Arabidopsis thaliana: one gene and its partners. The protein of the gene in region 3 interacts with the protein of the main gene of each other region in a pairwise test. Each region holds a gene or a part of one and is shown on either strand. Other genes may lie near its edges.

Region 1 (4,898 bases), 9.7 Mb from region 3:
GCTGATTCTTCCTTGGGTCGTAAAAACATGTTGTTTCTGTCCTGTCTCGTTATGGCGATATCAACGATGCTAACGGTTTTCTCACCAAACATTTGGGTTTACGCTGTTCTTCGATTCGTTAATGGATTTGGTCGAGCGACGATAGGGACATGTGCGCTCGTTCTTTCGACGGAATTAGTTGGGAAGAAATGGCGAGGACGAGTAGGGATAATGAGTTTCTTCGGATTCATGCTTGGCTTTTTGTCTCTTCCTTTGATGGCTTACATGAACAGAGGAAGTTCTTGGAGGATTCTCTACGCATGGACTTCGATTCCAACGATAATATACTGCGTTCTTGTTCGGTTTTTCGTTTGTGAGTCTCCAAGGTGGCTTTTCGTTAGAGGCCGTAGAGAAGAAGCTATTTCGATTCTCAAAAGGGTTGCTTCGATTCCGTCTACTGATGTAAGCAGTGGTGGTGCAATATCTATGAGTTTTTCGAGCTTACCTTTTGAAGAAGATGAAGAGAAGCCTAGTACTAATGTTAACATCTTCACGACCATGAAGGTGTTGGTAGAGAAAAGATGGGCGCTTAAGAGATTATCCGCGGTAATGGCCATTGCGTTCGGGATTGGTTTGGTCTATTACGGGATGCCTTTAGCGTTATCGAATCTTGATTTCAACATCTATTTAAGTGCAGCGTTTAATGCGTTGATGGATTTACCAGCGAACCTCATCACGCTTTTCCTAGTCGATAAACTCAGTAGGAGAAACGCGCTTATCGGATTTACGGCTTTAGGTGGAGTCTCTAGCGTTCTCATATTTGCGTTACATAATATGAGAATTGGAAACCACGGGGCGTTACAGTTGGCGTTAGAGCTAATCTCTTACTTTAGCGCGTGTTCGGCTTTTAACATGGAGATGATATACACGATCGAGCTGTTTCCGACATGTGTGAGAAACTCGGCTATCGCAATGGCTAGACAGGCTTTGGTGCTTGGTGGAGTTTTCAGCCCTATTATGGTAGCAGCTGGTCGGAAAAACGCGTTCTGGTCGTTCGGATTGTTTGGTCTTGCTATAGGTTTGTTGGGATTGTTTGCAGTTGGATTGCCAGAGACTAGAGGGAGTGATCTATGTGACACTATGGACGAGGAAGAGTGCAAAGACCGGCGGAGTAAAGTCGCCGTTAATAATGTCATTGCATGAAATGGTGAAGAATTTGAAAACACATGTGAAATTAATGTAGATTTAATTTAGTATTTATCACTTGATTACATTAAGACTTACCACATATCTTTTTTTTTGGTTAGTTGAAAAGTGTTTCTAAGAATGAGCCATCAAAGCACCACTCTGATGAAACAATCTCATTTTACAGTTTACACCTATAACACATGGATTTCTTGAATAACAAAATAATTCAAATTTGTCTCGTTTGGATATTGATGCCGATGGTTAAACGTTTGGCTGTTTGATTTTTGTTAGAGATAATTGTGTTTCTGTTCTAATTTTCACACGTTGTGTGAAAATGAATCGTTCCAATCCCAAGAAAGTATATTCATTGGGGTTGTTGGTAGTTGGCTGTTTGGTAATTGAATGGGAAGAACAAACCAGACAGAAATTTGTACACTTCTTGGTAGATATGTTTAAAAGGTTTAATTTACAAATAGGCCCATCTATCAGCCCTTTTGTAACCCTTTTAGGCCCAACTAAGTGGTCTCAAAGTTCACAAACCCAAAACTTATGTGGATTTATTATTTTAAGCCCACACAAACTAACGAACGGTGAGCTGGCAAGTCACGTGATGACACGTGATCCATCAACCCATCACTTACCATTACCCCAACCGGTACGGAAGTGGTTTTGTATCTTCCTACTTCGACTCCTCTTGGGTAATTATAATTAGTTTTAGATGAACCAAACAATCCCAAAATAATATTAGAAAAAGGGAAGAAAATCTGAAACCAAAAAAAACGAGAAGGGAGTCGAAGAAGAACCTTTCGCGCTCTGACGAAATTCATTACTTACACTGGATTTATACTTTTTTTGTCTTCCTCTCTCAATTATCTCCTTCAACGCCACAAGATCCTAAGGCCTCTCACGGATCTCTCTTAAGATCAATCGCCGCGGCTCATGACGCAGTCGCCTGTTCAACCGCCTCCGCCGCTCCCAGCTCAGCCGCATTCCGCCGCCGGAGGTGTAATAAGAGGCGATGTACAGGTTAGGTGCGCAGGCTGTCGCGTGATTCTGAGGGTGAAAACCGGCGTTGTGGAGTTCTCGTGTCCGACTTGTCAACTTCCCCAAATGTTGCCGCCGGAGCTTCTTTCTAGGGCACGGCCGCAGTTTCCGCAGTCTCCACAACAACCACCACAGCCAATTCAGACGCTTCCGCCACCGATTCAACAGCAGCTTAAGCCTCTTAATCTACCTAGGCCTCCGGTTCCGGCACATGGAATCGATCCGACGAAGATGCAATTGCCTTGCGCTAACTGTCAGGCTATCCTCAATGTGCCTCATGGACTCACTCGGTTCTCGTGTCCTCAGTGCCATGTCGAGCTCGCTGTTGATGTCTCCAAGCTTAATCGGTCTTTAACTGCTTCTCAATCTCATTCTAATCCTCCTACTCCTGCTGCTCCCACAGTCCCGCCTCCGCCTCCTCCCGAAGAAGTCAATGAGGAAGCTATTGAAGTGGAGAGAGAAGAAGATGAAGGTGGAACGGCTGGAGAAACGTTTATGGATTATGTGAGTGCCTCATCTTGAGATCATCTTTTTCTGTCTGTTCAATGTTTTTGATGATACTAATTTGTTTCTTTGTGAAGCGTCCCCCAAAACTTTCGATCGGACCTCCTCATCCTGATCCAATTGTGGAAACATCATCTCTATCTGCAGTGCAACCCCCAGAGCCTACTTATGATCTCAAAATCAAGGAAGAGCTTGAAAGGTCAAAGGCTTTATCGTGTTTGCAGATTGAGACATTAGTTTACGCTTGCCAGGTTGCTTTTAAATGGCAAAAAGTTTGGTTAATGGCATTTAAACGTATCTTCTACCTGTATGACAATGGTTTTTTTTTTATTACAGAGGCATCTCCAGCACCTTGCTGATGGTACCAGAGCAGGCTTTTTTGTTGGAGATGGTGCTGGTGTGGGCAAAGGGCGAACAATTGCCGGGTTGATTTGGGAAAATTGGAAACATGGAAGGAGGAAAGCTTTGTAAGTCTTGTAGAAAGATACTTCTGCGCCATTTACATCCTTGATAAGATATTGTTAGCTCAATTCAATCTGACTTATGATTATACTACATTTGCATAATTGTGTCTACGGTGTCCTTTTTTGGTTTCTTAGATAACTTAAAGTAGGATGAGTTCTAATACTATTTGCTCCTTTTCCTTTATGATTTACATAGGTGGATTTCTATTGGCTCAGACTTGAAATATGATGCAAGAAGGGACTTGGATGATGTGGGTGCTACATGCGTTGGAGGTATTATCTTGATTTTGGCTGTAAATTAAGTTTGTAATTCGCTTATTTTCTTGGGTCACAAATGCTTCATATGTTATACATAATTACATATAGCTTATGCTATAAATTATTTTCTGGCTCATTGTTGAATAGAAAATTTTGAAAGTGGATGGTATAGAGTAGACTGGATCAGAATGAGATTCTGACTTTGCTGAATGGATAAATTGACTCATGCTTTAATATTACGATGTAGAGTACACATGTATTTTTAGAGAACTTATTTTCTTTACTGATAAAGGTAATGGGTCCCTGAACTTTGTTTATGGTGTCTTCATGCCTAGAGAATGTTATGGGTAGCTGATGTTTGTGCAGTTCATGAAAATTTCAGGTAAATAAAAGTTGGACTGTAACTTTAGAATAGTCCAATAGGATATTTGATTCTTAGTCTCATTAATCCTTTATAGGTTTGAGCTTGGAATTTTAATAGAATATTAGGAGATGGAAAAATACGACAAATCAAGGGAACCATGTCGATGGATAAGTTCATTCAAGTGAACAAATGTCCAGTTTGTTTTTTCTGCAACTAAATAACAATATGTTTGACGTGCAGTGAATCCTTTGAACAAGCTACCCTATTCTAAGCTTGACTCGAAAAATGTTGGTATTAAAGAAGGAGTGGTATTCTTGACATACAATAGCCTCATTGCTTCCTCTGAGAAGGGCCGTTCTCGTTTACAGCAGCTTGTTCAATGGTGTGGACCAGAATTTGATGGTCTCTTGATCTTTGATGAGGTAACAGTTCTATGAATGAAGTATATTAAATTATTTGCGTTAAAATCATCATCCCCCTTTTTTTGTGAATTGAACAATTTGAGTATACCCTGTCGTTGTAAGTTGCTTGATCACTGGTTTTATCAATTTTGGGCCAACCTCTAATCTTTAGTACATTGTGCAGGTACTAATTTGTTTTCCTTTTTTATAGTGCCATAAAGCGAAAAATTTGGTACCTGAAGCTGGGAGTCAGCCGACACGCATCGGACAGGCAGTTGTTGACATTCAGGTCTGGCTACTTGAAACTGAATGTTCTTATCAGTGTTGCTTTTAATATTGCTCTTGGCTCTGAAGAGTGAGAGATTATATACTTCGACTTGTCTTTTTGGGTTGTACTTTTTCTCGGTTTCAGATAATATAGTGTATATTCTAGTTTAACATGCTTAATTTGTGGTTAGTGCCATCTAGTTGACTCTAACTAATGAATTCTGGAAAAGCAGGATAAGATCCCCCAAGCACGTGTTATTTATTGCTCGGCTACTGGGGCATCAGAACCACGAAACATGGGTTATATGGTCAGGCTTGGTCTTTGGGGAGCTGGAACAAGTTTTAGTGATTTTAACAAATTCCTAGGTTGGTTTTCTTTTCTACTCCTGTTGATTAATTGATTTTTTTTTTTTTGTGTGTGTGTGTAAC
Region 2 (4,061 bases), 1.9 Mb from region 3:
TATGGAATAATAGCTATGGAAATTATACATTCTAAGAGAAAAGTAAATTGTACAATATTCAACTTCTTTTTCCTTGGAAACCCTCTCGTGAAACTCCAAATATATAGCATAGCTGCATAGTAGTGTTAGTATATACAAGCAATTACACTGAAAATATTTTTCTTTTCAAAGCCATGGCCGAGAAGGGTAAGGAGAAGGTAAATAAACGCTCTCTTCTTTTTCTTTTTTGTGCTTCTCTTTGAAACCGTTACTACTAATTGTTACAAAAGTTGTATTAAAAGCTATGAGAACATTATATGATGAAATTAAACTAGGTAACATGGATGAAATTGAAGACGGAGCCTCTTAGTAACGAAAAGAATTTCTCGAAAGTCAAGAAGGCTCTTTCGAGCATACCTCGTATGTTATTGTTATATCTTTCTCTCCTTTTACGTCTCTTTTGGTTTGAAATTAAAAACTCATAATAATAATTTGTTTTATGTGATTTTTTTGGGAAAACAAAAGAAGTAAGAGACCAAAAGTTCGAAGAAGAAACCAACACGGTCACAATCAAAGTGGTTTGCTGCAGTCCTGAGAAAGTGATGGACAAACTCTGTTCCAAAGGACGTGGAGCTATTAAGCTCATCGAAACCATCGATCCGGCCAAACATGTGGCTCAAAAGCCCAAAGAACCTGAGAAGCCCAAAGAAGCTGAAAAACCTAAAGAACCAGAGAAGCCCAAACCAGCAGCAGCTCCAGCTCAAGGCGATCCAAGTTCTCAACGGGTGACACATGGGTATAATCCACCGCCGATGATGGGCCATCCGGTGCCTTGGTCTGATGGGCCTAACTACGGATGGTCCCGACCCAATGGGTATGATGAAAGACCCATTTACAATAGCTACGGAGGTTGGCAACCACCACCATCGCAATATGGTGGCAGATCACATTACGAAGAGGAACAACCGTCTTGCTCCATCATGTGAAGTCGTGAACCATTACTATTACATTATCTCTCTTTAAAGAACAAAAAAAACTTATTTAATTTTTCTATTCTACACAACTAGTTTTGATTTTCTTAGCCTTTAACAATTTCTACTAATTAAAAGCGCACTTGAATGTGTGAGATCATTTTGTTTGACAATAATACATAATACTTCATTGTGTTCTTTCGTTGTTTGGTAGTAACAATTTTTTAACTATTATAGCCTGATCAAATACATTATACTAGGTTTTAACCCGCGGTTTACCGCAGACGATCGGTTTATTTGGTTTTTATACTAAATATTTGAATAAATTTGATATTTTAAACTTATAAATATAAATTTCTAGTGATTAGTGAAGAATCGTAATATATGATTTATATATTATTGATTATTGATTTCGTGATTGAATACAATGTTTTTAGGGATAAAATGTGATCATATTTTTATTTTAAAAACGACATAGATTCCTTATTTTTGTTGAACGGTTTAGATTGAAGGAAATTAATTTTATTGAACGGTTTAGATTGAATCGGATCATATAAAACTTAGGTGATTGTTAAGACCAAATTACCCTTAATAATTTTGAATAGCAAAGAACAAAATCCAAAATTAAAGCCAAATTAGACAAAATTTCAATTTATACTTTCTTTCTAATAATAAAGGGATGTATACATTTTCTCTAATTATGTCTCATTCCATTTTTTGTTTTTAATTAGCAATTAAATGTCTTTCCTTTGCTCGGCTAAGCATCTCCGTATTTACTCGGCCGACAAAAGGCTTCGTGTATCACCAATTCATATTAAAGGCTTCGTTAACGGCCCATATTAAAAACTCGGCCCACATCTAAAAACACTTATATTGTGAAAAACGAGACGGCAAATCAATCGAGGGTTAGGGTTTTAGAATCTTTAAAGAATCACATTCACACATCAGAGAGGAAGAAGAAGATCGCAGCCATGTTCCCAGGAATGTTCATGCGAAAGCCAGACAAAGCCGAGGCTCTGAAGCAGCTACGCACTCATGTCGCTCTTTTTGGCAGCTGGGTTGTCATTATCCGTGCTGCTCCCTACGTCCTCTCCTATTTCTCCGATTCCAAAGATGAGCTCAAGATCGATTTCTAAATGACTCTTTCAATTTTCAGGTCTGATTATTGAATTCTATCAATTTTGTCTTCCTTTGTCATGATTTAGCTTTGATAGATCAAGTCATAACGATTTCAAATTCGTTTGAATTAGTTCTGTTTGATCCTTAATACTCTTAGGATCGAGTTATGGTACTTGCTTGAGTTTGATCAAAAGTATAGAAACTGGAAATTTGGTACTCTTGTTCATTAGAGTATTCTTGTCATTGATATGCTTCAGCTTATGCCTTTATGACTCACTTATTGATATGAAATATATATATCTGTGTATGAAGAAGCATTATATATACCCAATGTGTAGATTTAGGGATTGTTGAGTATTGATTTGAATATGCTTAGTAAAAGCTGGTTTGGTGTTAATCTTCAGTATTATGATCATGTTAGATCAAGATTGTGTGTTGTTTTGAATGTGTTTTTGAAAGGTTTGTTAAAAAAATTTCAAGCCAATTTAATAATGTGTGTGATTTATTTACACATAGATTTCTCATTGCTCTGCCATACTAAGATCTCTCTGGTCTGTTCTTAAGTAAGTTTTAAGGCTTGTTCATGAGAATGTGTTCACAATCATTAAAGCATGATATGTTTCAGCTTATGTCTTTAGGCTCACTTATTGATATGTGAATATATCTGTGTATGAAGTTATCTTAGATACTCATGTATCCCATGGAGATTTAGGGATTGTTAAGTATTCACTATGCTTAGGCGAAAGCTTCTTTGCTTGTTTGCTCCTCTTGTGTGTCATGAGAGAGAGAGTCTTCTTGAAGAAACCTTCAAAATTTTTCTGAACATCTTAGATTAAGATTGTGTGTACTTAGAATGTGTTTTGTCGATTAATCCAAGTATTATATATAATGTGTGTGACCTCGATGCTATGGGTTCCCCTGTTCTCAGCCATATTGAGATCGTCAATGTCTTGAGTTTGCTAAGCCGCCTATTGTCTTTTATCTCGTGCAGCGTTGAAGCGGTGAGATAGATGCATTATGAAGCAATGGAAGATATCTTGTTTGTTTTTGCAACCTTCTTACTCTTAAGACCTGAGATTACGAAATCATGAGACATTTAGTTATATAGTGGTGTACTTTTGGGATTTGTTTTTGGTTTATGTTCTTCTCACCAACGTTCTCCAATTTCCAGCAAATTACCTTCGGCTATTCACTACCGATTTGCAGATCAGATTCTGCCCATTATTCTTTTGAATTTGCAAAATTTTCTTCTCAGAACTAGTTTTGTCTTTTGTGGAGCGTTTTAATTAAAACACTTTTTAATGAAACGAGTAAGTTTTGGACATTTCTAAAGTGTTGTCTTGTGATTTTCTAAAGAGCAATCGACTTTTCGTACAGGAGGAAGCTAGATGCATTGAAATAAAATAAAATAAATATAAAGGGGGAGAGATCGGGAATTGAAGAAGAAAGGAATAAAAGTGTTTTGCAAAACAGTTTTCTCCGACAATTGCTCTGCTTTGTCTGATGAATACAGACCACAACTCTTTCGACATGAACAGTCTTCTCTTTTCCACCATTCGTAACACTCACAAACAACGTGCGAACCAGAAACACTCTCAACTTGTCTTTCTTTTATTCCTCTCTTAATTCTCTTCTTCTTCTTCGTCATGATCATGATCGTGATCGTTTTGTCCTTACCAGATAACGAAAACCCCTATGATTTAATCGAAAACTACACAAGATTTTGCAGATCCATGTCAAAAGTTTCCATCTTTATCGAGTTTTAGATTCAACAGCTAACCTACGTGCCACACAAGCAAAGCTGGGGATGGTGGAGGTTCCTGGCTCTGTAGGCACAACTGCAAGCCTTTCCTTAAGGTTAGGGCAGATGGTATTAGCATTTGGCTCTCTTCTCTTCATGACCATCGGTGTTCGCTTCTACCAATTCACTGCTTTCTGGTAAATAACTCCTAATTCCATATTCTATATTCTATTATCAACCCTAATATAATC
Region 3 (3,968 bases):
ACAGGTTGGAGAATCCGGATCCATTTTCAATTTACGGAGACCACGAACATTGTTATTCCCCTTGGTAACCATGATGCTTCTGGTGACTTGGTCGCTTGAGAGAGAAGGAGGAGAAGATCGGACGGTGGATAATGAATCGTGCTTTCTCAATTTCCCGAGACCATTGTCCGGCGTCGGTCCGGCCACCGTTTCATCCCACAGCTTGTGTAGGAACCCCATCCGATCAACAAAAATTTATCCAAAAATATATAACAATATTTTTTCAAATTATTTCGGGTTTTTATTTTACTGTCTCTATCTTCTTTTTTTTTCCTTTGCAATGGAAATGGTTTTATAGAGGTAGTAGAGAGGTAAGGATGAAAGAGAAGAGAGAAGCATTGAATATTTTTAGTGAGGTTAATTATAAGCTTTGGCTTAATTAAGGAGATTTTAATTTAAGGATAAATATGCTGACTAATCCAATCATTAGTCTCTAATCTCATTGGTGAATATTCTATAAGCTGTGTCTTAACTTAGAATCACAAACTACTAGTTCAGAACTCTACTTAAGAATCACAGAGGTTTTCAACAAGCTATTCAAGTTCAAAGCTTTTTAATTTGCCCATGTTTAAGACAAGAAGATGGATAACAATAACAACAACATGATGATAATCAGAGTCATAACTTCTCTACATTTACACATCCCACAAGGCAGTAACAATAACAACAACAACAACATCAAAACCTAAAATCCAGCTTATCATAGCAAATATCATAGGAACATTTGTGTGTTCAATTGTCAGCTACTTACATTGCCGTTATTCTTGCCATTGCGATCATCATCATCATCAACGATCCTCCTTTCTCCTCGCTGCCTGCTCCTCTCTTCCTCTTCTTGATTGTTCTGTGTTATCTCCAATTGAGTTTTCAAGAACTGCATTCTCTGCAACTCCATCTCTTTAGCAAATTTCATCCTCTCCTTTTCCAGTTCCGCCATTAACTTAAGCTTAGCAGTTTCCGCCTTCTCATAAGCTTCCGTAAATCCAAGTATCGCCCTCGCCACATCTCCAACTCCACTCCCTCCACCTCCACTCTTATCCACCTTCAACCGCTTTGGCATATGAAACGAAAGCGGTTGAATCGGTTGCAAAGGTGGGAGACTCTCAGCAGATTCCTCAGGAGAAGCCTCAGGTTCAGGATCAGACTCAGACTCAGTCTCAGAAGCACTACGTTTCCTAAAATGCCACCGCATCGAATCAGAGCCTCTCTTCTCTTGTTGTTGCTGCACAATCTGATTACCTTTAGTTTGCCGTTTAAACATACTCGAACGGCTATTCCCAAGAGCTCCTCCCATAGGAGCCTTCTCTGAAGCTTTTGAAGAAGCAATGAATGTTGTAGTACCACCAATCAAACTCTCAAGCTTCTTGAAGAAAACCCATTTACTAGGTCCATCACCAGAAGCAATCTTAGCTTTCTCTTGCTTATACTTCTTCTTCACCGTATCAATTCTGTTCTTACACTGAATATCAGTTTTAGGGTATTTGCATTGACGACTCTTGTTCACAATCTCAGCTACTTCTTTCCAATGTTGTTGCTTCAAAGTTCCTTTACCTGGTTCAGAGAATCGATCTCCCCAAGCTTCGATTAGAACCTTTGTAGCTTCTTCGCTCCAACAATCATCTCTTCCTCCTCCACCACCACCGCTTCCTCCTCCTCCTCCTCGTCCGTTTCTGTTTCCGCTACCACCACCACCGGTTACAGAAGGAGTATGAACCACTAACGCTAAAGCGTTCATGGACGGAGATTGAGAAGAAAGCCCCGGTTGTGGTTTCTTCACGACGGCCACCGTCACGTCGTTTGTTGGCAAAATCGGCGGAGAAGGAGGAGCTTGTGGTGAAAGGGAAGAATCTCCCGGAGATGGAATTGACTGAATCTCGTCGTCGTCCTCCATGAAAAATCGATCGATTCGGAGAAGGTAAGACGATCTGAGGATTTTGCAAAATTTTGGATCTGAGATTCGCTCACCGGCGAGGGGATAAGGTCACCGGATAGGTAATCTCCGTTATTGACCCGATGGATATGTTAAATGACGAAAACACCCTTCACTCTTTCCTTTAATAACAAAAGAACAATATTAGAAATTTAGAACCGTGACAGTATTCGAATGGTTTTATGGTAAATACTCAAATATCGCTATAAGGTATTTATGCTTTGGCCATTTTTTCGTTAGGAATATTGAATATACACACTGACGGATTTCAAAATTTCTCTAATATACAAAAGTATTTTTATTTTCTTGTCTATAGTATGGTTAGGTAGGTTGTCTCAAGTCTCAAAAACTCTAACTAAAATAAAACGAGATAAATCAAGTCTAATGGGCTAAGGCCTGGAATAACTTTCAAGGCCCAATAAAAACAGATATAAGAAATAAAAATACAAAATAGAACAAAGACATAAATCAAGTCCAATGTGCTAAACGGCCTATAAATAACTTATAAGGCCCAATAAAAGGAGATTTAATGACGTGGAAGCTTTTGAAACAACTCTCAAGTTCACTAGTTACTTCTAGAAATTTTCTCTGGAACTTTCTAGCTCACTGGTGTTTACTCACTATATATCAATGGAGTGAAAATTTCAAACCCCATACTATCAAATCGAAGAAGAGGAAGATCCAATTGGAAAGGGTTATCCTAATTCCCAGGTAATGATCCTATTCTCTGTATCGATCTTTTCCTGGAAAATTTCAGAATTGTTGATTTTTTTAACTGTTTTGTTTTCTGGCAGTCATTGATCGGAGAAGATGAGTGCTGTTGCGATTAACCACTTTTTTGGCTTACCGGAGGCGATCGAGAAGCTAATTCTCCCGATTTCTCGTTCCGGCGAAAGTAATAACGAGAGTCGTGGAAGAGGAAGTAGCAATAATATCCCAATAGACATTTTGGAATCTCCCAAAGAATACATATTTTATCTCGATATCCCCGGAATTTCAAAATCAGATATCCAGGTATTGATATAATCCCATAGAAATGTTGAATTGTTTATGAAATTAGGGTTTTTTTTTTAATTTAATTTATGATTTGGGGGTTTTGGTGGGAAATTAGGTTACAGTGGAGGAAGAGAGGACTTTAGTGATAAAGAGTAATGGGAAGAGGAAGAGAGATGATGATGAGAGTGAAGAAGGGTCTAAGTATATTAGACTCGAGAGGAGACTTGCTCAGAATTTGGTTAAGAAGTTCCGGTTACCAGAAGATGCTGATATGGCTTCTGTAACGGCTAAATATCAAGAAGGTGTTTTGACAGTTGTTATCAAGAAGCTACCGCCACAGCCGCCGAAACCTAAGACTGTTCAAATCGCTGTTTCTTGAGTAGTTTCTGTGTTTTGTTTTTGTGTGTGTTTGTTTTCTAGTTTGTAATTTTTCTGTGTTTGGATAAAAAGACTCTGTTTCTTTTATGTGTTCTCTTGTCGAAATTTTGAAATTGAAGAAATAAATAGGTTTAGCCTCCAAAACCAAAAACAAATAAAAACGTTGTCGACATTACCACCATAAGATACTCCTAAGGCACTGGGCTCTACAAAATTTTTGTGGATTCTACAAGATTAATGTTATAGGAAAAATTCTAAAAAAAATTCAAACTATTTTTTATTTAGAAGTTTAATACCCAAATGTTTTTAGTCAGAAAAAATACATATACAAATTAAAACATACAAGAATTAATATCTAAAATTTTATATGTTGTTATTTTTATACATGATTTTATGAATAATTAAAAATTTCAATTTTATCTTTAACTTTTTAATTAATTATTTATTTTAATTTAAAAAAATTATTTTGGTTCTCTTTTAACCGGATTAAACCAAATCAAAACTGGTTATTACCACCACCAAATTTTGTTCTTGTCATGTTAACCCGATGAGCTTTCCCAATCCAACAACCAACACGCCAATTGTCAATCTGGGCTTTATAAACTTTCTAGAGCTTCCCTCTTCA

What was found.
Region 1: the proteins of ASIL1 (region 3) and EMB1135 interact in a two-hybrid assay, tested with the Arabidopsis thaliana proteins (one large-scale study listed by BioGRID).
Region 2: the proteins of ASIL1 (region 3) and TOM6 interact in a two-hybrid assay, tested with the Arabidopsis thaliana proteins (one large-scale study listed by BioGRID).

Annotation. Positions count from the first base shown.
Region 1 is NC_003070.9:29,850,424-29,855,321, reverse strand, and holds the start of EMB1135 (RING/FYVE/PHD zinc finger superfamily protein), read left to right. Parts: upstream 1-1,855; 5' UTR 1,856-2,106; coding exon 2,107-2,715; intron 2,716-2,792; coding exon 2,793-2,966; intron 2,967-3,051; coding exon 3,052-3,182; intron 3,183-3,375; coding exon 3,376-3,452; intron 3,453-4,041; coding exon 4,042-4,223; intron 4,224-4,413; coding exon 4,414-4,491; intron 4,492-4,702; coding exon 4,703-4,835; intron 4,836-4,898. Other genes in the region: OCT2 (organic cation/carnitine transporter 2), read left to right, coding at 1-1,182. UniProt on the Arabidopsis thaliana protein: Required for normal embryo development. Necessary to acquire heat stress (HS) memory, by modulating nucleosome occupancy and regulating heat-induced gene expression.
Region 2 is NC_003070.9:18,284,763-18,288,823, reverse strand, and holds TOM6 (translocase of the outer mitochondrial membrane 6), read left to right. Parts: upstream 1-1,789; 5' UTR 1,790-1,921; coding exon 1,922-2,086; 3' UTR 2,087-2,106; intron 2,107-3,060; 3' UTR 3,061-3,518; downstream 3,519-4,061. Other genes in the region: AT1G49420 (Heavy metal transport/detoxification superfamily protein), read left to right, coding at 174-197, 315-399, 505-965; AT1G49405 (Uncharacterized protein family (UPF0497)), read left to right, coding at 3,877-4,007. UniProt on the Arabidopsis thaliana protein: A component of the complex responsible for the recognition and translocation of cytosolically synthesized mitochondrial preproteins.
Region 3 is NC_003070.9:20,178,934-20,182,901, reverse strand, and holds ASIL1 (6B-interacting protein 1-like 1), read right to left. Parts: upstream 2,293-3,968; 5' UTR 1,931-2,292; coding exon 779-1,930; 3' UTR 528-778; downstream 1-527. Other genes in the region: AT1G54070 (Dormancy/auxin associated family protein), read right to left, coding at 1-219; AT1G54050 (HSP20-like chaperones superfamily protein), read left to right, coding at 2,780-2,983, 3,081-3,344. UniProt on the Arabidopsis thaliana protein: Transcription repressor that binds specific DNA sequence such as the GT-box-like motif 5'-CGTGATT-3' in the AT2S3 promoter. Negative regulator of seed maturation genes during seed germination and seedling development.